Oryctolagus cuniculus: one gene and its partners. The protein of the gene in region 3 interacts with the protein of the main gene of each other region in a biochemical or structural test. Links are inferred from orthologs where the notes say so. Each region holds a gene or a part of one and is shown on either strand. Other genes may lie near its edges. The genes, in order: NTRK1, PTEN, NEDD4, RAP2A, RNF11, SGK1 and MLANA.

What was found.
Region 1: of the proteins of NEDD4 (region 3) and NTRK1, one has a biochemical effect on the other in vitro, tested with the Homo sapiens proteins (3 studies listed by BioGRID, with this or other methods). The link is inferred for Oryctolagus cuniculus from reciprocal best matches to the Homo sapiens genes NEDD4 and NTRK1.
Region 2: of the proteins of NEDD4 (region 3) and PTEN, one has a biochemical effect on the other in vitro, tested with the Homo sapiens proteins (7 studies listed by BioGRID, with this or other methods). The link is inferred for Oryctolagus cuniculus from reciprocal best matches to the Homo sapiens genes NEDD4 and PTEN.
Region 4: the proteins of NEDD4 (region 3) and RAP2A form a complex in vitro, tested with the Homo sapiens proteins (2 studies listed by BioGRID). The link is inferred for Oryctolagus cuniculus from reciprocal best matches to the Homo sapiens genes NEDD4 and RAP2A.
Region 5: the proteins of NEDD4 (region 3) and RNF11 form a complex in vitro, tested with the Homo sapiens proteins (3 studies listed by BioGRID and IntAct, with this or other methods). The link is inferred for Oryctolagus cuniculus from reciprocal best matches to the Homo sapiens genes NEDD4 and RNF11.
Region 6: the proteins of NEDD4 (region 3) and SGK1 form a complex in vitro, tested with the Homo sapiens proteins (3 studies listed by BioGRID, with this or other methods). The link is inferred for Oryctolagus cuniculus from reciprocal best matches to the Homo sapiens genes NEDD4 and SGK1.
Region 7: the proteins of NEDD4 (region 3) and MLANA form a complex in vitro, tested with the Homo sapiens proteins (2 studies listed by BioGRID and IntAct, with this or other methods). The link is inferred for Oryctolagus cuniculus from reciprocal best matches to the Homo sapiens genes NEDD4 and MLANA.

Annotation. Positions count from the first base shown.
Region 1 is NC_091438.1:41,947,953-41,952,132, reverse strand, and holds the start of NTRK1 (high affinity nerve growth factor receptor), read left to right. Parts: upstream 1-1,380; 5' UTR 1,381-1,450; coding exon 1,451-1,662; intron 1,663-4,180. UniProt on the Homo sapiens protein: Receptor tyrosine kinase involved in the development and the maturation of the central and peripheral nervous systems through regulation of proliferation, differentiation and survival of sympathetic and nervous neurons.
Region 2 is NC_091446.1:42,726,683-42,730,182, reverse strand, and holds part of PTEN (phosphatidylinositol 3,4,5-trisphosphate 3-phosphatase and dual-specificity protein phosphatase PTEN), read left to right. Parts: intron 1-1,678; coding exon 1,679-1,903; intron 1,904-3,500. UniProt on the Homo sapiens protein: Dual-specificity protein phosphatase, dephosphorylating tyrosine-, serine- and threonine-phosphorylated proteins.
Region 3 is NC_091443.1:78,551,332-78,554,831, reverse strand, and holds part of NEDD4 (E3 ubiquitin-protein ligase NEDD4), read left to right. Parts: intron 1-2,767; coding exon 2,768-2,887; intron 2,888-3,500. UniProt on the Homo sapiens protein: E3 ubiquitin-protein ligase which accepts ubiquitin from an E2 ubiquitin-conjugating enzyme in the form of a thioester and then directly transfers the ubiquitin to targeted substrates. Specifically ubiquitinates 'Lys-63' in target proteins.
Region 4 is NC_091440.1:15,033,298-15,037,561, reverse strand, and holds the start of RAP2A (ras-related protein Rap-2a), read left to right. Parts: upstream 1-1,464; 5' UTR 1,465-1,606; coding exon 1,607-1,920; intron 1,921-4,264. UniProt on the Homo sapiens protein: Small GTP-binding protein which cycles between a GDP-bound inactive and a GTP-bound active form. In its active form interacts with and regulates several effectors including MAP4K4, MINK1 and TNIK.
Region 5 is NC_091438.1:121,712,806-121,716,887, forward strand, and holds the start of RNF11 (RING finger protein 11), read right to left. Parts: upstream 2,801-4,082; 5' UTR 2,298-2,800; coding exon 2,175-2,297; intron 1-2,174. UniProt on the Homo sapiens protein: Essential component of a ubiquitin-editing protein complex, comprising also TNFAIP3, ITCH and TAX1BP1, that ensures the transient nature of inflammatory signaling pathways. Promotes the association of TNFAIP3 to RIPK1 after TNF stimulation.
Region 6 is NC_091436.1:34,692,342-34,696,479, forward strand, and holds the start of SGK1 (serine/threonine-protein kinase Sgk1), read left to right. Parts: upstream 1-1,338; 5' UTR 1,339-1,382; coding exon 1,383-1,458; intron 1,459-1,585; coding exon 1,586-1,661; intron 1,662-2,038; coding exon 2,039-2,114; intron 2,115-2,488; coding exon 2,489-2,593; intron 2,594-2,705; coding exon 2,706-2,789; intron 2,790-2,906; coding exon 2,907-3,038; intron 3,039-3,256; coding exon 3,257-3,369; intron 3,370-3,689; coding exon 3,690-3,813; intron 3,814-4,138. UniProt on the Homo sapiens protein: Serine/threonine-protein kinase which is involved in the regulation of a wide variety of ion channels, membrane transporters, cellular enzymes, transcription factors, neuronal excitability, cell growth, proliferation, survival, migration and apoptosis.
Region 7 is NC_091432.1:168,567,970-168,572,107, forward strand, and holds the start of MLANA (melanoma antigen recognized by T-cells 1), read left to right. Parts: upstream 1-1,338; 5' UTR 1,339-1,492; intron 1,493-2,929; 5' UTR 2,930-2,951; coding exon 2,952-3,031; intron 3,032-4,138. UniProt on the Homo sapiens protein: Involved in melanosome biogenesis by ensuring the stability of GPR143. Plays a vital role in the expression, stability, trafficking, and processing of melanocyte protein PMEL, which is critical to the formation of stage II melanosomes.

The DNA of each region.
Region 1 (4,180 bases), on a different chromosome or scaffold from region 3:
TGGGGAAATAAGGCCAGAACGCGGCGGGGGGAGGGGAAGAGAGGCAAAGAACGGAGCTCCCCAACCCCGCTGCGGCCGTGGTGGGGCCTCTGCCATCGCCACCCCGCGCCCGCCGCTCGCCTCTTCCGCGGAGATGCGGCGGCTCTGGATGCGGCCACTCGGGCTCTGACACCTGCGAGCTAACTTCTGGCAGCCTTGGCTAGCGCAGCGAGCTCCTAGAAACCTGGCCAGAACGTGGGCAGTGTCTTGGAGCCTTTCTCGGCCAGGAGGCCCCCCTGGCCATTCTTTCTGGGTCCCTTGGCGCGAGCCTTGGTTTTCGCCACGTACCCCAGTCCTGGCCAGGATCCCCTTGAGGAACGCGATCACCCCGCGGGGATCTGCCTGTCTGGTCACCTTCCTGGTGACCCGGACTGCTCAGACGTTCCTGTGTGCCCCAGCCCCGGGGAATCGGGAGACCAGGGGTGCTGCCTGAGCTCGCGCCCTGGGGCCCTTGTTTGCCCCTCCCCTCGGCAGAGAGATCGGGCCCTTGTGGCCACCAAGGCCCGCAGGAAGCCCTGCGTGCTGGGAATCCCGGTACTTTCCAGGTGCGCGGCCTCCGAGGGCCGGCCGGTCCCCAGCTCCACCCTCGGGCGGCTCCCGCGGCCGAAGGGCTAAGAGAAGACCTATTAATTTCTCGGCGCAGAAATCGATGCTCTTGTCAAGGCGGCGATCGATGCCAGCTCTGCTCGGCCTGGTCCTGCCCGGCCGGGCACCGAGGGCTGACGCTGGGACCCGTGGCATGGCGCAGAAAGGGCTGCAGACCGCACCCCCGCATCCAACCACCCAACCTGGGTCCCAGGCTTGCACCTTAGCGCGCAGGCTTCTAGCGCCACCCTGTGGCCTTTGCTGGACGGCAGGGCCTCGGCTCCCTGACCCCTTCCCTTTCTCTGTCCCTTCTGTTTTGCAATTGGTCCTTTTTTGGGGGCTCCTCTTCCTTTTCTTCCTAGGGTTCAGAGCGTTTCACCCAAATTACCCCAAATGACGTCACTCCCACAGACGAGCACACCGCGAGGCTGGGGGCTGTCTACGCGGACCTGGACGGCTCAGTCATCTCCCCTCCCCCCAAAATGTCAAAAGGCAGCTGCTTGAGGCTGGGAAAAATAATGTATCAACTTCCCCGTGCCCCCACGGCCAGCCAGAGACCTTCCGCGGCGGCCCCTCCGCCCCTCCCAGACCTGGGGGAATCTTGAGCTACAAGGCTGGCGCTGCGGGCTCCCGAAAGCCGAGGCGGCGGAGGTGCGGGAGTTGGAGAGAAGGGGCGGGGCGGGGCCGGGCGGGGGCCGCTGGCTCCGCCCTTTCCTGGCGGCTGGGTCTTTAACACCGCCCCGCGCACATGTGCGGGGAGGCCCGGCAGCCGCAGCTGGGAGCTCACAGACGGCGGCCGGGCCGGGGTAAGGCGAGCGCCGCCGCGATGCTGCGAGGCGGACGGCGCTGGCAGCTTGGCTGGCACAGCCAGGCGACGGGGCCGGGCACCTTGCTGGCGTGGCTAATGCTGGCATCCGCGGGTGCCGCGCTCTGCCCCGATGTCTGTTGCCCCCGCGGCCCCTCGGGGCTGCTCTGCACCCGTCCTGGAGCCCTGGACAGGCTCCGCCACCTGCCGGGCATCGAGAACCTGACAGAGCTGTGAGTGTCCGGCGGGCGAGGGGGAGCGCGGGGACGGGCGGGCGTCACCGAGCCCCGAGGGCGCGGACTCACCGCCTGCCTGCTGGGTCAGGCGCGGCGGGAGGCTGGCCCTGCGTGTCTTTTGGCGGGGTCTCGGCGGTCCTTCGCCGCAGCCGCCCCTGCTAGCCCCGCCGTCACTACCTGGCTGCCGCCTAGGGCTCAGGCCAGCTGTGGCGCCAGGTTCGGGGAGAGCGAGCGCATTTTCCGTGGACCAGGTCTGAGAGAGCCCGGCTATCTTAAGGCACTTTCTGGAGCTCAGCCAGGAGCCCGAGCTCTGCTCCATTGGAGGCGGGGGATTGGTCGCGGAGACCCTCTCAGTTTGGCACCCCTACCATCTTTTCCTTTTTCTAGGGGGCATGCTAGCCCCCACGCCCTTGTCATGACCGGGCTCTCCAGGCCCTTGCCCTGGGACTGGGAATTGAGCTGGGATTGGCGGAACCTAGTGGCTCCTCTCCCGGTTTCCACCATCCCTTGAATCCAGGATGCCTTGGGTTGGATGTGGGGAATGGGACCCCCTCCTGGCTTCTCCAGCCGCCCCCCTCCAACCATCTCCCTTTCCATCCTTGTCTCGACTTGGGGCACAGTCAGGCCTTTGCTGAGAGCCCCCTGCCCAGCCCCCTCTACCCGCTCCCCTTGCTGCCCGCAGCCCAGGGGCATCTGCAGCGTTTTGCACTACTCTGATATCCTGCAGCCATTTGCCACCAAATACTCTGCTACTTTCTAGCGGCTGGGGAAACCTATGGGAGTATGCTGTAATAACTGGCCCCGAGGTACTGAAGCATCACAGAACAGTGGCTGGAAAATACTCAAGCATTGCCAGCAGGACTCCTGGCAGCAGGGACGAGCTGCTAGAAAAATCCTGCTCCTGTGGCCTGGGGCTGAGAAGGTGGACAAGGGACCCTGGCCTTGTGCAGGGAGGGGCTGGAAGGTGTCCGAGGCGGGGTCTACCACCACTGTCTGGAAGTTACTTGAGCAGCCTGTAATAATTGGCACGGACTTGCTCGGGCATCTCGTGGTAATTAACGGGAAGGTACTCAATAGCTCTCTCTAATGGCCCTGGGGAGGCTAGGAGCAGAGGAGATGGCCTTGTCTCGGTCTGGGCCTAGGTCTCTGCATGCTGGGAGGGGACCTGAAGCCTGTCCAGTCATCGCCCCAGGCGTCCCAGTGGGACCCCGGTTCCCTGTCACTGCTCTCATCTCCCAGTGCCCTTCCAAGCCCCAAGAAGAATAAACGCCTGGGGGAAGGGTGGACAGTCCAGGGTCGGGGGCTAGGAGGTATGCAGGGGGTGAGCTGAGATGTCCCCCTGGGTGGACCAGCAGCCCCCTCCCTCCTCCCTCACCCTCAGAGCTAACGAGGAGATAATGGACTCCAATAGACAGATTGATTACGAATCCAAACGAATGGGGCAGCCTTGAGGCAGCCTTGCGCAAGCTGCCTGACAGCCTGCACACACCCAGCCCGCCACCGCTGCTTCCCAGCTCCCCGGGCCCCAGCAGCCTGAAACCCTACGGTCAGGTGCTGTAGGGTGGAGAGGACCAGGAGCTGCCCTCCTTCCGGGTCTCTAGAGGTTGCTCCCTGAGCCTCAGGGCACGGAGGACCTGATTCTTGCCTGGCCTCTTGGGATCAAGGCTGGGAAGGGGGGCTGGGAGGAGGAAGAAGCTAGTCTTGGTTCCTTTATTTGGTCCTTACTTAGGAAAAGTAAGAGGTAGAGTGGGAGCATTCTGAGAAGCGGCGGTGAGTCAGGGCCCCGGGTGCCCATGTGAGGGCCACACTGACGTGCAACTTGCAGAACAGCCGAGTGCCCAGGACCTCCCTGGCACACTGGGTGCAGAAGCTAGCCCAGGGCTCCCGCCAGCCCCCAGCCCAGGTGCCTGCTTGCTCTGCTTTCTTTGCTGTCTTCCTATCTGGCCTTCTCTGCCTCTTTGTCCTTATCTCTCTGTCTCTGTCTCCCTTTCCTTATCCTTCTCCTCTCTCTCTCTGCCAGTCTCCCCCTATCAGCTTCTCTTTCTCACTCTCTCTGTTTCTGTCTTGCTCTCTTTGTTTTTCTGCCGTCCCTTCCCATCCCTCTCTCGCCATGTGAGCCAGCCAGTTCACTCCCACTCCATTCTCTCATTCCCTTTCTCCTCCTGCCTGGGCCCCTCCTGGGGCAGGGAGGGGTCCGGGGGTCCATGCCTGACAGCTTCTATGCTTCTTGCTTGCTCTGCCCAATGGGCAGGGGTGGAGGGAGGAAGGGGTTGATGCTTGAGTGTGGGAAGGGGCCAGAGGCTTTGAGGGGGTGGAGAAGGTGGAGTGTGTACGTGTGTGTGTGTGTGTGTGTGTGTGTGTGTGTGTAGTGGTATGAGTGGGCCCTGGGCAGGCGTGATTGGGGCACATGCTTGCAGGGACACAGGGTCTCTCCGTGCTGGGTGGGGCAGTGGCAGGGCTGAGCCCAGCCCCTTGTGGAAGCAGGTGTTTCAGCATGACCCCCATTGTTGAGCAC
Region 2 (3,500 bases), on a different chromosome or scaffold from region 3:
TTTTGTGTAGAGACACAGACTCCTTTTCTCCATTTTGGTTTATATTTCTTGGAAATGGGTTATTGTATGTTTAGTTCCCCAAGATTTAGTTTTTTGATTAGAGAGAAATAAGTATGAATAGGAAGTAATAAGGAGTGAAAAAATGGAGTTTATTTTAATATGCATTTAGAAAGAGCAGTTTGTACTTTATATTCTTTAGAAAAGTTCAAGAGCTCATTGTAAAATAGACTATCTTGTTTAAAATATTAAGTGTGAACATTTAAAGCAGATCTAAGGGGGCCAGCACCATGGCATAGCGGGTAAAACCGCCCCCTGCAGTGTTGGCATCTCATATGGGCTCTGGTTCAAGTCCTGGCTTCTCCACTTCCGATTCACCTCTCTGCCATGGCCTGGGAAAGCAGTGGAAGATGGCCCAAGTCCTTGGACTCCTGCACCTGCGAAGAAGACCCAGAGGAAGCTCCTGGCTCCTGACTTTGGATCTGTGCAGTTGTGGCCATATGGGACTGAACTGGTGGATAGAAGACCTTTCACTCTGCAACTCTGCCTTTCAAATAAATAAATAAATAAAATAATTTTTTTTTTTTTGACAGGCAGAGTTAGACAGTGAGAGAGAAAGGTCTTCCTTCCGTTGGTTCACCCCCAAGTGGCTGCTACGGCAGGCACGTTGCACCGATCCAAAGCCAGAACACAGGTGCTCCCTCCTGGTCTCCCATACGGGTGCGGGGCCCAAGCACTTGGGCCATCCTCCACTGCCCTCCCGGGCTACAGCAGAGAGCTGTCCTGGAAGAGGAGCAACCAGGACAAAAAAAGATTTATTTACTTTATTTGAAAGGAAGAGGCAGAGAGAGAGATAGGTCTTCCATCACTCCCCAAATGGCTGCAATGGCTGACGCTGGGCCCATCCAAAGCCAGGACCCTGGAGCTTCCTCCTCCAATGTGGGTACAGGGGCCCAAGGACTTGGGCCATCTTCCACTGCTTTCCCAGGCCATAGCAAAGAGCTGGATTGGAAGTGGAGCAGCTGGGACTTGAACCAGCGCCCATACGGGATGCCAGCACTGCAGGTGGTGGCTTTACTTGCTACACCACAGTGCCTGTCCCTTCATATTATTTCCAAGAAGTGATTTTTTTTAGAATAGTCATTTTAGAAGAAAAAGTGATCAAAAGATTCCCTCACCCCGGCGTCTTTTATTCTGAAGGTTTTCAGGCATACATTGTCATGTAAGAAACTGAAGTTACTGTGTTTGTATTACTGTGAAATAAATCTGCTGTTTAATCAGACAATTGCACTTAATTTCCAGGAACTTCTGTTAAAATAAATCTTGGATTAGATAGCTGATTAAATCATAAAGAAAATTAAATCATACCTGATTTTTGTTTATGCCTACACGTAACTGTACACATTTCTAAAGCTAGTATTAGAGTAGATAGAAGTTATTTTACATAAGACTTTAAGGTCGTTCTTAGCTATTATCTACAGTTTGAGTAAAAGAAACACAAATGAATCAATGTAACAGGTACCTGCAGGTTGGCGTATAGTAGTAGTGTTTTTGTTTACCTTTATGAAGAATATCAAACGATGCATAATTTTGTTGACTTCTTGGGGCAGATATTGAATATAGGTGACATGTTTTTCTCCAACAAAAATTTAAAATTAGACATTTCTTTCCTTTTTTTTAGGACAAAATGTTTCACTTTTGGGTAAATACGTTCTTTATACCAGGACCAGAGGAAACCTCAGAAAAAGTAGAAAATGGAAGTCTTTGTGATCAAGAAATTGATAGTATTTGCAGTATAGAACGTGCAGATAACGACAAAGAATATCTAGTACTTACTTTAACAAAAAATGATCTTGATAAAGCAAATAAAGACAAGGCAAACCGATACTTTTCTCCAAATTTTAAGGTCAGTTAATAACCCTTTGTGGAGTCAGTGGTTACATGCATACGTGCCTGTTTTATTCCAGGTGTGCAGATGAAGAACTTGGCTGACTGATTTTCAAATTAAATGATGTATTGTTTAGAAGCAATGTTTATGAAACAATAACCTGAATGTTTCTAATGAAATATCAGGATACAGAAAGAGTCAAAGGAGCTGCGTGTTTCCTTCTCCTGTTGTTTGATGAAATCTGGGACAGAGGTGTGAGAGGGGAGTTAAGTGAATGGGTTATGAAGTAGAAATGGGGGAATTTGTTCACTGCTGCTCACAAATAGGCTTGCTTCTTTCACTCTTTTTTACACTTTTAAAAGACGTACTAGGTACTTGCATAATTTAGTGTGGTTCTGCCTCCTTTGTTACCTCTATCCATATTCTTTTATGCTCTCTGGGATTTAGTCATAGTGGTGTGGCTTCAGTTCTTGCAAATACTGTTTCTGCCTCTGGTCTTACCAGTTCTTTTCCTTCTTCCTGTACCTTTCCACCCTAGTCTTTTCCCTTACCTTCATATAGGCCTTCTCTCATTGTCCTCCCCTGCTACTTCTTTCTCAGATTCCTCTCTGGTTCCTCATATTATGTGTTAGAATTAATTGATTTGTTTCATTTTTGTCTGTATGTGATGTATGTGTGTCTTTGAGTGTGTGTACTTCTATTTATAGGTGTGAATTCTTCAGATTAAAAAATCTGACTTGTAAACATTCCCAAATAATAGTTCACCATTTTTTTCTTTCCTTTGGCTATTTTTATTTTATTTATTTATTTTTTTTTTACAGGCAGAGTGGACAGTGAGAGAGAGAGAGAGAGGGAAAGGTCTTCCTTTTGCCGTTGGTTCACCCTCCAATGGCCGCCGCGGCCAGCGCACCGCGCTGCCGATGGCAGGAGCCAGGTACTTATCCTGGTCTCCCATGGAGTGCAGGGCCCAAGTACTTGGGCCATCCTCCACTGTACTCCCGGGCCACAGCAGAGAGCTGGCCTGGAAGAGGGGCAACCGGGATAGAATCCGGCATCCCGACCGGGACTAGAACCCGGTGTGCTGGCGCCGCAAGGCGGAGGTTTAGCCTAGTGAGCTGCGGTGTCGGCCCCCATTAACTTTTAAAATGTCTTTTTTGCTTTGGTTTTGTAGTTTTCTGTTTTAATACCTCAAGAGGTTTTATATTTGTGATTACAAAAACTATTTTTAGTAAACCAGTGTATTGTCATATATATCATGGTAAATGCTGTGAAAAATAGAGATGAGATAGAGAGTACTTTTATTGGTTTTATTTGTTTTGGCTAGCCTGATTAGAGAAGATCTCACCAAACTGTTGACATTTAAGTGGAAGCCCTAATTCAGATGAATGAGATATACCGGTATCAGGGAAAAGAGAGAAGAGAAGATGCAAAAACCTTGAGATAGGAGTAGCTTAGTTTATTTGAGAAATGAAAAGTCAGTGGCTAAAGGAGAGTAGACAGGAAAACCAGTCCATGTGTGAAAATATCGAAATATTTTTCAGCACAGAACTGGTGTGGTCTAAATTTTTATCTTTAAACATTGGCTCTACTCCCATAAAATATGGACAGATGAGGA
Region 3 (3,500 bases):
ACATCTCATTTCTCTGAGTTTACCTCTCACTTACATCATCCCTATTTTTTCTTAAATCAAATTAAAACTTCCAGGCTTTTCAACTCACCCTTCTTTCGTTAAAATTTTTTTTTTAAATTTTTTAGTTTATTTAGTTGAAAGAGTTACAGAGAGAGAAAGAGAGGAGTGAGCTTCCATCTGCTGGTTCACTCCCCAAGTGCCCAAAACAGCCAGGAGTGAGCCAGGCTGAAGCCAGGAGCATGAAACTCCATCTGGGTCTCCACCTGGGTGACAGGGACCTGAGCATTTGAAGCATCTCCCAGACGCTGTCTCCCAGAGCAGCCCTGCTTCCTTAACTCCCCACAGAAACGTCCTGCTGCCTTCGTCCCATCTGAGCCTCTCACCAACAGGCTGTTTCCACGGACGGATTCTCTCCTCCCTCCAATCAGTGCACACTGGCGCCTCTCACCTTCAAATAGCCTCCTTGCTTTTTTTCACCAGTCATTGGTAATTTTGAAAATTGGGCTCTGTTTCTGCTTTTGTCAAAGTTCCCACATAGAACCTCAAAGTCTCCAAAGGACTCAGTCACTCACCTGTCCCCAAATGAGAGCCATGCCGTAAGAGAGGGACCCACGTCCTAGGCTGAGGAAGGAGGATGTTCCTGCCTGTGCAGTCCTGGCCCAGTCAGCACTGCCCACCACCAAGAGGGCCAGTGCCTCCCGGAGACCGCCCTCGGCAGCTTACTGTGACTTAGTGTCACTGGGCTGGCCTCCTCCCTTAGCCCAGAGGCTGCTCAGGCAGAGATTGTGGTGTTTCTCCCACTGCACCTGTAATGTGCTCCATACGGCACAAATGTTGCATTTCCCATTGATTGGCCGGCACTCATCCAAGAAATGGGGTCATTTTTGAGATTCGTATTTTGTTTGTTTCAAAGACAGAGCAGTAGAGACAGAGGGAGAGTTAGGGAGATCTTCGATCCACTGGTTCACTCCCCAAATGGCAACAACAACCAGAGTCAGGCCAGGCTGCAAGCCAGGAGGAGCCAGGAACTCCATCCAGGTCTCCCACATGGGTTGCCAGGGCCAAAGCACTGGGGCCATCATCTGCTGCCTTCCCAGGCATGTTAGCAGGAAGCTGGATCAGAGGGAGGATAGCCAGGACTTGAATCCATGCTCCCTTGGGGGATGCCAGTGTTGCAGGTGGCAGCTAACTCACTGTGCCACAACACTGGCCCCCTTGAAATAGTTTTTAAGTATACCATGTGAGCAGCAGCGGTTAGGGCAAATTTATTTCTTATGTATGGTAAAAGCTATTCCCGTGCCGCCTTCTCATACTACACTGGTTGGTTTTACAGATTTCTTGAGTTTTGGAACTTGATCCTGTCACACATACATCACTACATGTGAAATTTAAAAGCTGTCCCCTCACCCCGCATCCTTGCTTCAGTACCTGCATCTTCTCTCAGTCCCAAGAGACCCCTCGCGTCTGTTCTCTGCAGCTGTAGTTGACGTTTCATACAGAGGGAGTCAGAGCCTGCTGTCCCGGGTGCCTGGCCCCTCACGCAGCGTGATGTTTTTCAGATCCATCCACGTTATTGCACGTCTTGGTAGTCCCTGGTAGCCCCCCTCCCATATTACTGCATCCCATTTAGTCGCCTGCTAAAAGAAGTGTGGGAACCTGGGCAACATGGAATTCCATGGTGTGCCATCTAACACTCCATCATGTTTGTCAGTGAGGTGCTGACAGCTGCCGTGTGCCTCATAAGCAGTGGCCCCAGCGAAGAGCCTGGCGGTGGTGGTCTTCACGGTGTCAGGCACTTTAGGGGAGACAAGCCAACTGACAAAAAGAGGGCGGGCATTCAGCGCAGTGGTTAGGATGCCACTTTGGACACCTGCATCCCATCGTGCAGTGCTTGGTTGGAATGCCAGCCCTGTTGTTGATTCCAGGTTCCTACAGATGTAAGCTCTGGAAGGCTCAAGTACTTGAGTCCCTGCCACCCACACGGAAGACCCAAGTGAAGTTCCTTGCTCCTGGCTTTAGCCTGGCCCAGCCCCTGTTGTTGTAGATACTTGGAGAGTGAACCCAAAGGGAAGAATACCCCCCCACACACCCCTTACTCTGTCCCCCCCTCCCTTCCTCTTTCAAATAAATAAAAATATTTAAAAATCAGTACCAAAAAGAAGGCCAAACCTGGGACTATTTTAAGTAAACCTGGAAATAATGATACTTTTCTTTACTCCTTTGTAACACATAGCATTTCCTTACCCTTATAGAAACAAGACAAGGGTAGCTTTTGACTTGGCATGGACGTATTTATTCCATTGATTATATGCAATATACGTTAGCAACTTGTGTCCGTTTTTTAAGCTTCAGTGTACTCCTCAGCAGAATGGGCCAGTTTTAGCAATTATCATGAAGTTTTGTGTTGGGCTTGAATGTCATGAGGTATGTTAAAGCATTTAGGATGTGGTGGTTACTGCTTTGTTAGTGATGTTATTATTTATTAGTCATATGCTTTATTAGTGATGTTATTAGATTAGTTATTAGTGCTGTTATTATCTATGCTATTTTCTTCCCAAGTGAAATGCATACACTTTATGTTGTACATGCTAAGATGATTTAGAATATGTTTTATTTTACTAAATTAAACATATATAATTTGTGCATTTTCCATTGTAGTAATGGAAAATAAAATGTGCTTCATTCTAAAAGAGCTAGCACTGAAGGAATGTGGTACTCTTTCAAGGATTTTTGTGAATATTTCATTGTTCTTTATTCTTCACTTAAGCTTTTGCCTACTTCATCTGGACTACCGCCAGGTTGGGAAGAAAAACAAGACGAAAGAGGACGATCATACTACGTAGATCACAATTCCAGGACAACAACCTGGACAAAGCCTACTGTACAGGTGCCTGCAGTCTGTGAACTTGTTTTTGATAGAATTTGAAGTGCACACTGGATACTTCTAGCACCTTCTAATTGCAATCAACCCTTGGCAGGGATAAAGGATTGATTCCGGGAGCCCTGTGGATACTGAAATCCATGAATGTTCAAATGCCTTTTAATAACTGGCACATTTGGATGTAACCTACGCACATCCTCTAAATCATCTCTAGATTGTTTATAATACCTAGTGCAGTGTAAATGCTAGGCAAATAATTGTCATAATATATTGTTAAGGGACAATTAAGGGCAAAGGAGGAATGTCCGTACATGTTCAGTACTGATCAGGTTTTTTTTTTAATGTATTGAATCCATGGTTGATTGAATCCTTAGGGAGTGGCCGACTGGAGTTAGTTTTTGGCATTGATGCTAAGTGTCTACCTTTTCCTGTGGGTCTGTCATGCACATGAATTGTCACTGATTATTGCATAAAACAGGTCCAGTAGGGACTAAAAGGACACAGTAAATGACCCACTCCATTGGATGCTTTTGTAATTTGAATCTTTATCATCATTATTTTCCTAGACAATGATCTCAGTGATGAATATTTTTAAAAATTAATGCTTTGTCCTTGGCAA
Region 4 (4,264 bases), on a different chromosome or scaffold from region 3:
ATAATAATAATAATAAAATAAAATACAAAAACCCAGCAATGTCGGGAAGGCAAGCTCTGTCCTGAACTTGACGGCACGCGTGGGAGGGCGTGTGTGTGACTAAGACCTACGGCCGCGTTTTAGAACAGCAGTAAAAGGGGGCGCGCGGGGACGACGGCGCTACTGCGGCACCGCAGTCGCCTCCTCAGGGCCGGCGACGTCTCCCGCCCTGACCGCCGAAGTCCCGGCTTTCCCTCTGCAGCCCGCGTCCCACAGCACTGCTCCACGCCGACCCCGGGACTCGTCGCTCCCGCCTACAATGCACTCGCTCCCCTGCCAGAGCAGGGCACAGCCACCGGCCCCGCCATCCCTGCCCCTCCCGAACCCCACCAGCCCCAGCCCGGTCTCCACACCCCAGCCCTCCGAGGCCCGCGAATCGCGAGCTCCGATTGGCTTACCCATGCCTCCGTCATTGCCCAGCTCACCTACCATTGGTCAGCAGGTCGTGCGCATAAGCCCTGGGTGGTGGGGAGGCGGAGCCTGCGAATACACGTTTTCCTGATTGGCTGAAGCGGAGGGCATCACGTGGCATGAGGCTGCTCCCTATTGGCAGTCAAGGCTACCATGCGGTCCAGAGACGCGATCTGATTGGCTACCATGAATCCCGGCTTCCTACTAGACGTCCCCTGCGGGCTGTTGCTATGAGGTGTCCCCTGCCCTTCCGCAGGCTGGCGGAGACTCCGCTCTCCACGTTTTCCCTGTGCCCGTGGGTGACAGGGCGTGGGAAGAGCTGGACCACAGTCGGGCACCGGGAGGGCGGGGCTCCGGCGCAATCACGGGGCGTGGCCGCGAGCCCGTTCCCGACAGGCCTCGTGTCATCGTGTTCACACCACCTCAGGCAGAGGCCTGGAGGCGCCACACCACCTCAGGCAGAGGCCTGGAGGCGCTCGTCCCCTTCCACAAAGCGCACAGACAGCGCAGTGTCAGGCAAAGGCCCTCGCGCCTCTTGGACCCCGCGCGTCTCCGCCTCTCGCTACACGAAGCCTGACCGTGGGCGCTTCGAGGCGACTCGGCGCCCGCATCAAGCCGGAGCGGCACGGTCGCGGCCCCCAGCCCTGCTGCGGGGCAGAGCCCGGCGGCGAGAGCCCCCGGGGCTGGTTTATCTCAGCGCGGGCCGACGTTCTGGCGTGGCGCAGAGCCTCTCGGGAGCGCGCGCGGCCGGTCGCCTAGGCGACGGCTGCAGGGGCGGGGCTGCGCCGCGGGCCCCGCCCCGAGCTTCCAGGCTCCGCCCCCGGCAGGGCCGCGGCGGGGACTCGGGCGCGCTCCCGCGCGGGGAAGCGGCGGCGGCGGCGGCGGCGGCGGGCGGGGAGCTGGGCGTGGAGGCGCGAGGGGCGGGGCGGGCGGCACTGCGGGCCCGCGGCTCGGGCGGCTCCGGCTCCGGCTCCGGCTCCCTGCTCGCCTCAGCGCCTGCCGTCGCCCGGCTCGGCCCATGCCCAGGGCCGCTGCCGCCTCAGCCGCCGCCGCGGCCGTGAGGTGCGGGCGGCCGCGGGAGGCGGCGGCCGGGTCCGGGGGCGCAGCGCGGCGGGCGTAGGTCTATGTCGCGGGCGGCGGCGGCGGCGGGGGGACGATGCGCGAGTACAAAGTGGTGGTGCTGGGCTCGGGCGGGGTGGGCAAGTCCGCCCTGACCGTGCAGTTCGTGACGGGCACCTTCATCGAGAAATACGACCCCACCATCGAGGACTTCTACCGCAAGGAGATCGAGGTGGACTCGTCGCCGTCGGTGCTGGAGATCCTGGACACGGCGGGCACCGAGCAGTTCGCGTCCATGCGGGACCTGTACATCAAGAACGGCCAGGGCTTCATCCTGGTCTACAGCCTGGTCAACCAGCAGAGCTTCCAGGACATCAAGCCCATGCGCGACCAGATCATCCGAGTGAAGCGGTGAGCGGGCCCGCGGGGGGCGCGCGCCCCGCTCCGCGCCCTCCTCCTCCTCCTCCTCCTCCTGACCCCGCGCGCGAGGGCTTTGTTCCACCCCGGAGACCCGGCGTCCGGCCGCCCCCGGCGCCGCGCTTTGTCTCCCACGGCGCGGGTGGGAACCCCGCAGCCAACAAAGTTGGAAGTCGTGCGGGGGGACGGCGGCGCCTGACAGCGGGGCACGCTCCCGCGCGGGCTGCGGGGCTGTCAGGTCGGAGGCGGGAGGCCCCTGTCCGCCGCGCTCTACTCGGGGTCGGTGGGAAACTTGGAGGACGGGGCGCGCGCGACGGCCCGGTGGGGTTGCGGGAGCCCTGGCCCGGAGCGGGACCCCGGCGCCACTCAGGTTTGGGAACGCGGGTTAAGTTTTTAAAAATCGGCCTGCTGTACCCGCTCAGAAACGGGGCGGCGGAGGCGGCCAGGTCTGCAGACAGCCAGGTATTAGCTAATTTAAAGGTAATGCAAATAAACTGCCCCAGAGCAGCTTGGTCCTGAAGCATGCATTTTTGAAACAGGAACGACAGCTTAAATGGTTCAAAAAAATTTTTTTTTCTCCTAGAATTGACTATATTTTCCCTGTAATTTCAGTGTCAGGAACGTAATATCTTAGTTCAAAGTTTTGGCAAAGTTTTCTAATTGCTATTTAATTACACATTACCCCTGTGTCTGTTCCTTATTAGTTAATGCTTGCTGGCCATTTTCGTGTCATTTTCTTTTGTTGCTGCCTTATTCTCCCTGTGAACCAACATTGAAAGACATTTGCTGAAAGGTGGTTCTAAGAGTGATGCAGACGCGATGAGTTGTAAGTCAGTTTGAGTCTACTAAAGAAGTCCTGTGTACTCAGAGGATGTTCAAAAATTCATTACAAGTGGTGGATTTTTAACACAACTTAGGAGATCACAGGGAAGACTCACTTCCCCTTGTCTCTTTACATAATTAACTTTAATAACTAATTTTATGTTCTTTCTTGCATTAAGTTCCAAAGTAGAATAAAGTGTGTATTTTTTAGTCTTTACTGCTGTTCCCAGGTCTGTAAATCTGACAGCTTTTTGCTTCTCCAGTCTCATTGTTTCAAAGTTATATATCTGGGATTAAGAGAGAAACTATTTTGGTTTCAAACTAAGTGTGTATCCGATATTTAAGGAGCTACTTTTTAAGTGGTTCAAATCCTTTAACATGACTTCTCCCCAGTACTACTCAATTAAACAGAAAACTATAGTAAAGTAGTCTCATACATTGTCACAGGTCAATTTTAGGCCAAATACTTAGATGAAATAATAATTAAGTAAGTGCTTCACCAGCCCCACCCTTCACATTTGAATATCTACACTGAGTATGCATCCATACACTGCTAAAGTCACGTACCCAGACTATCTTCTTGACACAACCTTGGGGGAAGGAACATGGCAAACTGTCATTGGATGGTAGGCTGCACATCATTTTGGAGTTTATTTAGTGCAGGTTACTTTTCTCAGTTTTTTTTTTTTTTTTTTTTTTTTTGGACAGGCAGAGTGGACAGTGAGAGAGAGAGACAGAGAGAAAGGTCTTCCTTTGCCATTGGTTCACCCTCCAACGGCCGCCACAGCTGGCGCACTGTGGCCGGCGCACCGCGCTGATCCAAAGGCAGGAGCCAGGTGCTTATCCTGGTCTCCCATGGGGTGCAAGGCCCAAGCACTTGGGCCATCCTCCACTGCACTCCCTGGCCACAGCAGAGAGCTGGCCTGGAAGAGGGGCAATTGGGACAGAATCTGGCACCCCGATCGGGACAAGAACCCCGTGTGCCGGCGCCGCAAGGCGGAGCATTAGCCTATTGAGCCGTGGTGCCGGCTTTTCTCAGTTTTAATAATGGGTTAACCTAGGCTTGGTCTACAGGAAGAACTTAACCTGTTACACTGTGACTCAAGGGGGAAAGGGAGACATCTATCTGCATAGTTGGTTAGCATTTTTCTCACTAGTGTCAGTTCTTGATGTAAAAAGACCATTGATCAGCAGGAGCTTTTCGTAAAGTTCTCCCTGGAATTCAGCTATCATATCCATGAGAGCCACTTGGGCCTTTCTTCTGTGTCCTCTTATCTGGCTTCCCCGTCTGTAGCATATTATTTACAAACAGAAGGAAGAAAGGACCTGTGTTTGCTATATGGATTACAATGAATATATATTAAAGCAGGTGTTATTGAACCCTTCCCACTTAGAAAGAATAGAACATGATTTTCAAATAAGTGAATTTTCTACTCTTTTGAAGACCAGATTTTAAATGAAGCAGTTGCAATAGGAGTCATTGTTCCCACCCCTTGGCCCACTGTCTGGCAGCTAG
Region 5 (4,082 bases), on a different chromosome or scaffold from region 3:
ATGAGCCAATGTTACCACAGTCCTTAATTACATACTGTCTCTTGAAAAAAGTCACTTTTATCAAATGAAAATATTATAAATCATTTACCTTGGATTGATGTTTTTTGAGATCACTTAAATTAACTGTTCCAAAAAATCTTTCTTTAGGTGGACAATTTTAAGTTTTTTGTTTCCATCTTTTAAAGTAATTATTTTCTTCCAAATGATACTAAATTTACATCAGTATATGGGTCATTCACTTCAGGAAAGGGCAACCACAAAAACATCCACTGTCAAAAATAACACATTTCCAAAAAAACGCTCATGATACCAAAAAGCTCTCATTACCATCTAGTCCTTTTGGAAAGGGCAAATATACTTCCCATAAATTCTAAAGTTATTTAACACTACAATTATCATCAGGATAGGAGAAAGATAGCAACAAGTCAAAAATAATTCAGTTTGCTTGGAAAGGGATTAGGGAGCACAGCAGATTTTGAAATAAAAAATTTGCCTAAAAATTGTTCATGAAACTAAAATAAGCAGATTTGTTGCATAGTCTATATGGGGGCAGGGGACAAAGAATGAAATATAAACTGTTTACTTGCTTCAAAGATACTTGGACCAACATTCAGATTCAGCTTGGATTTAAAGAGACTACCACCCCTGTGACAATTTACACACCCTAAGAGATACCAAGTGTGTAAATGGATATAACAGCAAACTGGAATCGCATAGTCCCTACCTTCATGCAATGTAAATTTAGGGAGGAGGGAACACCTCAGGGTGAGATATACATCCACCTACACAAAGATGTCACACTAAAGTGTTTATAGCTCTTGGTTCATTCCCTTGGATGCAGATGAGGGATGGGGAGGAAAGAGAGGAACTGCACAACTTCAGATCTGACAGCTGAGTCCTTAAAGTGGATTAGATGTCCACCTGGCCGACCTTGGGGGAAGGGCTCCAAGAAGAGAGCAACTGGAGCAAAGGCAGAGGTGTGAACAGCCAGTATTTGACAGTCTGGAATACAGAATGTAAGAGGTGTCATGAGGTTTTCTGTATGCCACAAGGAAGACTGGACTTTGCCACAAGGAAGACTGGACTTCGTTAGTATCCATGAAAGGCCCCCACAGGGTTTTAGTCAGAAAATTAGCATATGTATGTGATCAGGTTTTTCTGGTGTGATGAGACACTGGTTTACACAGGTAAGACAAAAGAAAACACTAGATAATGATGTCATCACATGAAACAACAAAGGCGACTGCCCAATTAGAAAGCTAAACTCCCTTCAGGAAAAAACATTAAGGACTACCATTCAAACCTTTCTGGAAAAAAAAGTTTTTACTCAGTATCATTTAAACCTAGGAAAACAGAGGAAAAGTTTTTGTATGTATTATGAATTATAACATGTGTGTATCTATTGAGTTTTCCAGAGCTCCTAACCTTCTCACTAATTCTGTAACACAACTGAGACTAATGGTTGTACAAAAAGCAATGAAGCCTATTTAGGAGTCTTTGATATAAGGAGGACCATATGTAACGCAAGGCAATTCCCAAGTCAGGTTTCAAGGTTTTCAAAGTTCAAGATAATCAAGTTTTATTAAGTCAGCACATTTAAAAGGTATGTCATAAGGGTGGAGCAAAGGCGGAGGGGGTAAAAATGTGTGTGTGTATAAACAAATTTATAATAGTCGCTGGGGCTAAAACTGCCACTTGGAGAGCCGGCTCTTAAGAAATGAACACCTACCAGATCCAATTAACAAAGACGGGGGGGGGGGGGGATCACATGAAAATATAAATGGAGTGGGTGGGGGCAGCCACTTCTCCCCGACCCATAATCCAGCTGGCGGTGCGATGAGAAAAATCATACGATGTAGGCATAAAGGCAGGAAAATAATGTCACTCCCAAACTTCACAAGCGAACCACCAGACACTGGCCAAGGGGCTACGATCCCATACCCCTCATCCCACAACTCAAGGGCAGGGAGTACCCTGCACGGCGCGCCCGAGGGAAGGGGAAGGAGCACCTCTATTCTCGGACTGGGAGAAGCCCTCAGCCAGCCCTACGGGGGTCAACGCCCCCTGGGCAGGCCTCCGCGGGGCCGGGGGCAGAGACGGCGGAGAAGCCCCTCCATCTCTGCCCGAGCTGCAAGTACTCGCACCCCTCCTCCCCAACACACACCCTCCCCTACCTGATATGGCGGCGGCGGCTCCTGATCCGGCTCCGTCCCCTCGCCAAAGCTAGCGCGGTCGGACTGAGACTCGTGAAGCAGAGAGATGTCATCCGAGGTGGGGGACTTGAGGCAGTTCCCCATCTTCCGGGGCGGGTGTGTGCGAGCTGGGGTAGGAAGAAAGCAGTGGCGGGGTCGTTCGCACGCTCCGCGGTCAGCCTCGGTCGGCGAGGTGGGGTCGAGCGACGGGCCGGAGCTCAGGCGGCGGCGGCTCCCCCGCCCCCCGGCGCCGCCGAGGGGCAGCTCATGCCAGCCCCCGGGGGTGGGGGCTCAGGGCTGGGCCGCGGGCTCGGCTGGGGTCGAGACGGTTGCCTCCGGCGAAGCCGCGACGCGGGGGGGGCGGGGAGACGAAGCACTTCCCCACCCCGCCCCCCCGCGGGGCGGCGGCGGCCACGGGGCTGCTGGGCTTAATCCAGGTCAGGAGCGGGGGGCGCGGCCGTCGCGGCTGCCTCAGCTGCTGCCTCAGCTGCTGCTGCTGCCCCCGCCGGCAACCGCGCCGCGGCCGCGGGCCTCATCCTAGTCCGCCTCAGCGCGGCGGCGGCGGCCAGAACGAGGCCGGCTGGGGCCCTGCGTCATCCCGCCGTGCGTGCCCTGGGCCCGCCCCCGGCGCCAGGAGGCGAAGGCGGCTCTCGCGGCGCGGCTGGCCCCGCCCTCCTCTAGCAGCTGTTCCTGGGGCTGCGTCAGTTTCTGCTTCTGTCCCTGACAGTTTGGCTCCTCGCCCGGCTCGCTCGGAAGCCTCTGGTTTCCCGCGCTTCCCTGCGGACACGGCTCCCGCGCCGTCGACGTCGCAGCTCTTACCTGTACACTCTTCTGACAGTGTTCTCACCACCCTCTGCTAAGGGATCTATTTATATACCCATATCTGAGTGGATGGATCATCGTACCGTTGTTAAAATGTTAAAGGGCTTCCCACTTTTCCCTTCGGAATAAAGTCCAATCTCAGTAATGAACCCTCCCGATCTCAATCACTTTCCTGTCCTGCATCACAGCCAGGGAGCTCCTTCTCCCATTTCTTTTCCCAGAGTGTTCCATTTCCTTACATTCCCAACCACCATGGTCATCTCTTGCCCAGGCTCCTGCAATAGACTCAGCTGTTCTTGTATTCATTATTGCCCCCCCCCATCCAATCCATTATTTGCACAGTTGACAGACTTATCTTTTTTAAATGTAAATAGAGTGAAGTCGTTCTCCTGTTTAAAACCTCCAAAGGGTTCCTAATATTGTCCTTAAAGCAATCTTTAAATAAATAACTTTCAAATCCGACTGCCTCTCCAAGCATAGTCCCATCCTTCAGAAACTGTAAATTCCAAGCTTTCCAAAGTACTTTAAAAATTTTATCTATTTGAAAGGCATAGTTAGAGAGAGAGAGAGAGAGGCAGAGAGAGAGAGAGAGAGATCTTCCATCTGCTGATTCACTCCCCAGATGGCCACAACAGCCTGGGCTGGGCCAGGCCAAAGCCAGGAGCCAGGAGCTTTTTCCAGGTCTCCCACGTGGGTACAGGGACCCAAGGACTTGGGGGCATCTTCTGCTGCCTGCCCAGGAGCGTTAGCAGGGAGCTGGATCACAGCAACCCAGACTCTAAGCGGCACCCATATGGGATGCCGACACTGAAGGCAGAGGCTTAACCTTCTACATCATGGCGCTGGTCCCCACAAGTACTTCTGGATACCTCAGGGACTGTTGCCTCTAGCTGGGGGTTTTGCCCATATTGTTTCTCTGGCAAAAACCTACTTCTCCCCGCTTCTGACCTTCTGCCTCTCACCGGGCTAATCATTATTCCCACTTGACTCCCAGGACTCAACTCCATTTCCCCTGGAAAGCCTCTCCTGAGTCCACTCTGGGTTTCACCTCCTCTCGGCTTTTAGACC
Region 6 (4,138 bases), on a different chromosome or scaffold from region 3:
CCCTCTGCCGCCCGGGTCACGCCAGGTCCGCGCCGCCGCCGCCGCCGCCCTCACCGGCCTCCTCACGTGTTCTCGGCGTGGCGCGGATTAAAATGCAAGGGGGAAAAAAAGTGCACGCAAAACGGACAGAATGTTCTCTAGAAATTACAAAAGGGGTGGGGGGGGGCTGCAGATTGCACTTTGTCTTCAATGCAGAGCCGAATTTTGCTTCCGCCCCCTCCCCTACACATTCCTGACTCCCCTCCCCCCCCTTTTCCCTCCTTCTTTCCTTCCTTCCTCCTCTTCCAAGTTCTGGGATTTTTTTTTTTCCAGCCTTGCTTGGTTTTGGCCAAAAGCACAAAAAAGGCGTTTTCGGAAGCGGCTCGGCCGTGCACAAGGGCCATTTGTTTGTTTTGGGACCCGGGCAGGAAATCTTGCCCGGCCTGAGTCACGGCGGCTCCTTCAAGGAAACGTCAGTGCTCTCCGGTCGCTCTCGCCCGCCGCCCGCTGCCCATGGGGGAGATGCAGGGAGCGCTCGCCAGGGCCCGGCTCGAGTCCTTGCTCCGGCCCCGCCACAAAAAGAGGGCCGAGGCGCAGAAAAGGAGCGAGTCTTTCCTGCTGAGCGGACTGGGTAAGCGCGCCTCGGCCCCCGCGGGGACTTGGCTCCTCCGGTGCGCGCGGGCGCATGGCTCCGGCCCGGTTCTCGGGCTCGGGAGAAGGGGTGGGGGGTGGACGGAGAGCGGCGTGACCGGGCGGCGGGAGCGGGGAGGACCGGCCCGGGAGCTCCGGCCCCGCGCTGACCCTGCAGATGAGGGCGCGCTGAGACGCCTGCGCCTGAGAGAACTCCCGGGCGGTCGCACGCTCCGCCCGGCCTCGGCGGGGAGGAAACCGGGGGGCGCCGGGGCGGGGGTCCCGGGCTATCTATCGCCGAGAGAGTGCAACTGCGGGGGAGGGTGTGGGCTCGCGCAGGGCCGCCGGCCCGCCGGGCTGCGTCCGGAAGGCAGCTCGGCGCTGCTACCCTGACTTCCTCGCCGAACGGAATAAATGAGAAAAATGGAAAATTACTCCGCATCCTTTCCCGCCACCTCCGCCCGCGCCCCGGGGCGCCGAACACTGGCGAAACTGCCCTCCCCGGGCGGCTCCCGAGTCCCCCACCTCCGCCCGCGGCTCGCCCTCAGGCTGGGGACAGAACCGCCCGCCGCGGGCTGCCGTCCCGCCGGGACGCGGCGCGGCGGCCGGGGGCGGGGCCTGCGCTGGGGGGCGGGGCCGCGCCGCTCCTTTGTCGCCGGTCGGGCCCCTCCCCTGCCGGCGCAGCCTTTATAAAGCCGGGCGCGCGGCCCGAGCGCAGAGTTGGCTGAGCCGGTCTCTCATTCCCAACGACTCGCTGTGGTCTCACCGTGGCGATGACCGTGAAAACCGAGGCTGCTAGGGGCCCCCTCACTTACTCCAGGATGAGGGGCATGGTGGCCATCCTCATCGGTGAGTGCAGGAGTCAGGCCGCCGCGCGGTGCGAGTTTTCGGAAGGTCGCGGATCACGGAGTGTGTGTGGCGGCGGACGTTACGAAGCCATCTGAGCATTCGTTTATTTCTCCTCTTTCATTCACAGCGTTCATGAAGCAGAGGAGGATGGGCCTGAACGACTTTATTCAGAAGATCGCTAATAATTCCTATGCGTGCAAGCAGTAAGTTCGGGTGGGATTGCGGGAATTAAAGTCAGTAGCGCCGGCAGGGTAGCAGAGTCGTCTCCCCTCGCTGGGTTACGTCGGGGTGGAGATCTCATTTCTCCTCAAATCCTGGTTTACTTGAGACGTTTTTAACACGGAGACGGGCTTGCCTCCTTGTCGCCCGCCCTCCGCGTGAAAAACCACCTCAATTTCTGTACACAGCTGGGCTCACTGTTGGCTTCAAAGGGCCCAGTAGATGATTTTGGGTGTTTGCAGTTGAAGTCCTGGATTCTCCGGGGAAACTTCGAGCCAGAAACTCAACTGGTGGTGTTGCTGTGCCCCCTAGTGGGGCGCGAGGAGGCTCCAACGTGTGTGTGTTTTTTTTTCCTCTGCAGCACTGAAGTTCAGTCCATTTTGAAAATCTCCCAACCTCAGGAGCCCGAGCTTATGAACGCCAACCCTTCGCCTCCGGTGAGTATCGTTCCGTTTGTGAAGCATCTATGGGGGAGAATTGTTAAGTGAGTCACCTAGTATCCCTACATTGATGGATTAAAATAGCATTTCTGGAAATTAGTATGAAGGCAGGAATGTCTCATTAGTTAAGGACATAACAGGTGACATAACTAGTTAAGTATTGAGTCAGTGGAGTATTGTCTGAAGGCATATTTCATAAAAGTTTTATCCGTTTAATCTCCATACTCACTTGAAATAATGACATGGTGTGGTTGAAAAATAGTTTTGAGTGCGTTGATAGACGTATGGGACTTGCATCCAGCTTTTATGCTTTATTGTGGACGTCTGCCTTTGAAAGCGGTGACACTAAAGGAGAATGTTTTATTTTTCAGCCAAGTCCATCTCAACAAATCAACCTTGGCCCATCATCAAACCCTCATGCTAAACCATCAGACTTTCACTTCCTAAAAGTGATTGGAAAGGGCAGTTTTGGAAAGGTAATTTCAGATCCGGAGACCTTTGTATATACTCTCGTATGTGTTCATTTTACACTCTCCCTGGATGAGGACCCAAAAAGGATGATTTTTTTTTTTCTTATTGCAATTTCAGGTTCTACTAGCGAGACACAAAGCAGAGGAAGCCTTCTATGCAGTCAAGGTGTTGCAGAAAAAAGCAATCCTGAAAAAGAAGGAGGTAGGAGAAGGGGCTGGTGGGTTGGAGCTGTGAGTGGACGCTCACTGAATCAGCTTTGCCTTGGGAGTGGGTGCCAAGTTGAAGTTTGTCGCTCAGTCTGGGTTGTCATCCTCCTAGGAGAAGCATATTATGTCTGAGCGGAACGTGCTGCTGAAGAACGTGAAACACCCTTTCCTGGTGGGCCTGCACTTCTCCTTCCAGACGGCCGACAAGCTGTACTTTGTCCTAGACTACATTAACGGTGGAGAGGTGAGCGAGTGGGGAGCAGGGGCCGGTCTCTGCACAGCCTGCTTGGTTTTTTAGTCTAAAAAGGAAGTTTTCGAAGGTCTTTAGGGGGTAAAAGTTGCCGGGCTTCAAATAGTTAATAGATTACCTAGGGCTACTTCCTGCGATTGTTTTCGTTAGCTATATATGTCACTAGTGAAGTGTTTTGGCAGCCCAGACTAACTTTGTCCTGTCTCCTGCAGTTGTTCTACCATCTCCAGAGGGAGCGCTGCTTCCTGGAACCACGGGCTCGTTTCTATGCTGCTGAGATAGCCAGTGCCTTGGGTTACCTGCACTCTCTGAACATCGTTTATAGGTGAGCCAAAGAGCCCTGGTAGCCCTCCTGCTTGAGGGAGCCTTAAGATTGTGTGAGAGAGTGTGTGTGCGTGCACCTGGTCCCCTAAAACCAGATCCCCCAGCACGTGAGCTGCCTTGACTCCATGCCACTAGGGAACTGGCCAACTGGGATTGTCCCTAATCCAGACTAGATCAGCAGAACAAGGACTCCCTTTTTTTATTCACTGCACAACTGCAGTGAATTTAAAATACCTAATGCCCTTAGCAGTTAGCTTCACAGAGGACTTGTTATGAACTGAAATTAACATCAGCAACTACTCCTCTGTTCATTTTTTACAGAGACTTGAAGCCGGAGAATATTCTACTAGATTCACAGGGACACATCGTCCTGACTGACTTTGGGCTGTGCAAGGAGAACATTGAACACAACGGCACGACGTCCACCTTCTGCGGCACACCCGAGGTAGGCGCTCGCTTGCTCAGTCCGTCCAGGAGAGACTAGTGCCACAGTGCTTCTAACTTCCTGAACTCTTCAGAAATGTGCTTAGTACAGCTCAGTGAGAGCAAATTACATTCATGGCTTGGTGCATGCAGCGTGAGAAATTCTAAGACATCCTGTTGCTGTCATTGAAATGACCTATCTGTAGGAGCCACATCATAAAAGGGTTTCTAAACCCCCAAGGATGATAACTGTTAGCTACCCAGTAGCTTCCTAAATAGAGGCACCCAGAGGTGGCCGGTTAGCCTCAGAAAGGATAGCGGTTTTGTCGGGCAGTAATCTGAAGGAA
Region 7 (4,138 bases), on a different chromosome or scaffold from region 3:
CTGAGGTGCAGGCCAGCTCCACTCACCCTCTCTGTGGTCTTGCTCACATCGTCCAGAGCCATGGTAGGTATAGAAGGCAGCTTAGTGCAAACTGTGGGCTTCTCAACTTGGAACCACAGCCTTCGGCGGACACCAGCACTCACCACTAGGGCTTTCAGGGAGTTACCCGGCATAATCCTGATGTTCGGGATGGAGTTGCACTGGATGTGATATGACACCAGGGCCTTGTGTCCTTCCCAGCCTTTGCACAGAATCTCTGGGCCATCCTCAGTTCTGGGGACCCTGACCACGTCACGCTCTATTGTTTGGCCTCAAGGCCTTGCGCTGGTTGTTTCCATATTTGAAATGTTCTTCCTCTACCTCCTCATAGCCAACTCCTTGTCATTCAGATCTCAGTTTACATTTTCCCTCCTTTTCATGAAGACTCTCTCAGTTTCACCTGATAAGACCCAACTCCTCTTTCTCTGTTTTGTTTCTCCTGTTTCCACTGATGACTTCTGTTGGTTGATCAAAGTCAGGATCTGAAAGGAATGGAGCCCTTGGATGTTATGGGGAAGGAGATCTTTGTGGTCATTTAGTCTAAGTCCTCAGTTGTTGAGGACTCTCACTTATACTCCTGAATTCTGGTGGATTTTTGCTTTACTTTGCTTGCCCACAATGGTTAGGGTGAGCTGTGAAGCAAGGGTGACCACTGTGCCTCACTGCAGTGCCTCTGGGCTGTACACCTTTGATGCCCAGGGTAGCTTACAATGCTAAGTAAAGCCAGCCCTGGTTTCAGTTAGACTGTAAGTAGGTTGTACTCAACCTTCAAGAAGGAAATTTCACTGGCCCCTTGCAAATGCGTGAAAACTCACGGTCCCTAGTGGGTAACACAAAGAACTCAGGGAGCTAAGTTTACGAGGTTTTAGGAATCTTCCGTTGCCTCTTTGTGGTCATGAGAATGCAGGACTAGGCAATCTCTGTATCTGAGCCCCAGGGTTCTTCTACTCCTTGAGGAGAAGATGAGGAAGAATGTTGAGCACCCAGCTAACTCTGGGTTTCAGACAAATGAAACAAATATATATAAATATGTTAATGTAAGGGTGTCTCATGCATTTTTAGCACAAAAATATTGCACGGGACATAGTTATACTAAAAATGCATTCATTGTTTATCTGAAATTCAAATTTAGCTGGCCATTCTGTATTTAATACAGCAGCTCTGTGCAGGAGCGACCGGCATTTAAAATAAATGACTTCCCTAGGATAAAGCTCTGGGATTATGGTAAACAGAAGCCACAGTGAGCTGTTCCCCACCCCCCTGCCCCCCAAGGGAGGAATTAATTCGGTTTCTTTCATGCCAATTAAGCAATCACAGTCAACTCTGTCGGGAATCCAAACCCATGACTATCACGGGACTTGAGACCACGAAAAAGTGAAGAAGATTAAGAGGCAGAGAAGCAGTCTTCACAGACACGGGCGGCTGGCAGAAGAGAACTGGCTCATCCTGGAAGGTAAGGGTGTGCGTCGCCTTCTCACCAGAATTGTAGTCCTGTAGATCCAGAGCAGGGGTGGGGGATTCTGGTGGACCCTGCCGCACTTCCTCATGGCCTCTCTGATACTCAATTGTCAACAGAATTCCCCTGCGACGTTTGTCATCCTCCAACTTCTAACCCTCTCTGGGCCCTCTGGGACTGCCAAGAAGCATAGCAATTATTCAGGGTGGCAGGCAGCTGGTGAGAAGACTCCTGCTGGAGTTCGGCATACTCTCCCGTGGCTGCTGCTCTTGCTTTGAGTGTAACAAGGCGCATTTGCTGTCTCTGTATCATCTGCCAGGGCTCTGAGCTTAAGGTATAGATGGACGAAAACAATTTAATGCATAACTGAGTTTCTTGTCTGTAATTTTGGGCATAGAGCTCACTCTTGGAGAATTTACTTGAGAGCATCAGTGAGTTCAACTTTCTTTTTTACAACTAGGAAGGACAAATTGCATGTAAAAAAAATGCCCCCACCTCCACCCCCAGTGGAAAGGAGTTGCCTGGTGAAATCCCCACTCTGCTCTTCTACTCCTCCCTGGGGTTTGAAATTGAAGTTGGGTGATGTAGCTCTATGGGGCTCAGACCTTCGAAATCCACCAGAGTGATAGGGCTTCCATGGATGGCTTTTAATGAGTACACGTTCATCATAGCCACTGCAGTTCATGAGCTTTTGTTTTGTTCATCTGCATGTATTATAGTTAATTAAAAAATCATAGCTACGAAACTTGAACTATAGAAGAGCAGAACTTGATCAAAGTGGGAGGGAAAACAAATTGTTAGGCATAAGCAGGTCCTAGGCTTCTGGAGCTGATTTTGGGTGAAATGCTCATGGACAAGCCGAGGCACCTGCCCGGGGCTGGTTTCTTTGTTGAAAAGTGGGATTGAAAGATGCTGTGCTTGGCTGCCTGGCTCACACACCCATGGTGAGATTCAAGCATAAGGTGCTCTGGGAAACAGAGATTATGCTATCATAGGCCTCTGCTTGTTCTGAGATAAATATGAGATGATAACTTTGGAGAGAAATAACTCCTCTTATTTTGTTAACCACTGCCCTGGGTCAGAGAAGGTAGAGAATGAATAAAAAACAGTGTATCACTTGTTGTTCTACAAGTTTATGGTATAGAGTCAAACTGAAGGTAAATGGATATTTTTCCCCAAATAATAACTCAATTTGAAAGTCCTGTGTTTCCATTCGTAGTTTCTTCTTCAAGTTTTTCATTAGTGGGAAAGGTAAGAAACCCAAGCTGTTTCTGAAGCTTGTGCTAGCAAGGAATGAAGCAGGTGCAAATCCTTTTGTAGAGAAACCTGAGTGTGGTTGTCCCCTGGTGAGAATGTTATTGGTGGGACTCTATGACATGGCCGGCAAGAACGTTTTGGATGCACTAAATAATGCTCATGTGCCCCTTCTGATAGGTGTCCTGTGCCCTGACCTTTCATGATGCCAAGAAAAGAGGCTCACTTCATCTATGGTTACCCCAAGAAGGGGCACGGCCACTCCTACATCACAGTTGAAGAGTAAGTTCAACCCAGACCCAGAGGGGTTCTCAGTTTGCTGTTTGCTGACACAGCTGACTTCCCCCAGCACGTGACTACCTAGCAAGTCTCCTTAGTGTTCTGTCTCCACAGACAGCAAAAGGTCTGGAAACAAGGTGAGGAGGCCCCAGGGGCTCACTCAGGCTCCTCAGAGGCCAAACAAGCAAGAAGACAAGAATGGTAAAAAGTTGGATCTTACCCACTTTGTCTGCATTCTTGGCTTCTGGGTCTTTGTTGTAGGTTCTTAACCTGGAACATAGCTGTCTTGTATGCAGACGAATCTTTACTCAAGCTTTGTCCTGTCTATTCTGCTCAGGCTCCTAAAGGAGATTTGCAGACCATGAAATGTGTTGCCAAAGAACCAGTGAGGATGAAGGGCAGATGAGAGTGACTCCCTCTGCAGACTGACGCCAGGATGAAGATGGTGTTCGTAATTCTATCTGAAAAAAAAAAAAAAAAAAAAAAAAGCAGTTTGATATTACGAGTTAATTAGAAATTAGCATTTGCATGATGAAGCATTTCTAAGTGCTAAGTGTTGTATACTGGTCCAAGACATGATCCAGTGGGAAAATTAGGCCTGAGGATAATCCCAGGAGATGTAATTGCTGTAACGGGAACACCAAGGATGCAGGGGCACACTCTGCATGTCCTCTCCGCCCTCTGAGTGTGAACCCCAACAGGACAGCAAGGAACTGTCTTTTGGAACATCTTGTCTGTGCTCTGTTCAGAACTTGCTGTAAACCTGCTCTCCCTTTGGAAAGAGTTGGTGAGCAATCTTATAGGAAGTGAGAAGCAGGGACAAATAAGATGTGGAACCCATCAGAGGTGCTGAGGAGGACATCATGCTGGGAGTACCTGCTCAGAGGACCCCAGGGGATTCTCTAATACGCTGTGTGGTCAGTGGGGTTGGGGGTGGCCGATGCCTTCTGGCAAAATGTCCCAAGAGCAAAGATGTGCTGTGTGTACGGTGCACTGTTTCAGCTTCTGTGTGGTGGCCCAACACACCCTTTACATTTAATTCTACTTATCTCTCATGTAATTGTTTAAAACGTCCAAGGGCTCATCAGTTGCCTTCTGTTCAGTTACTGC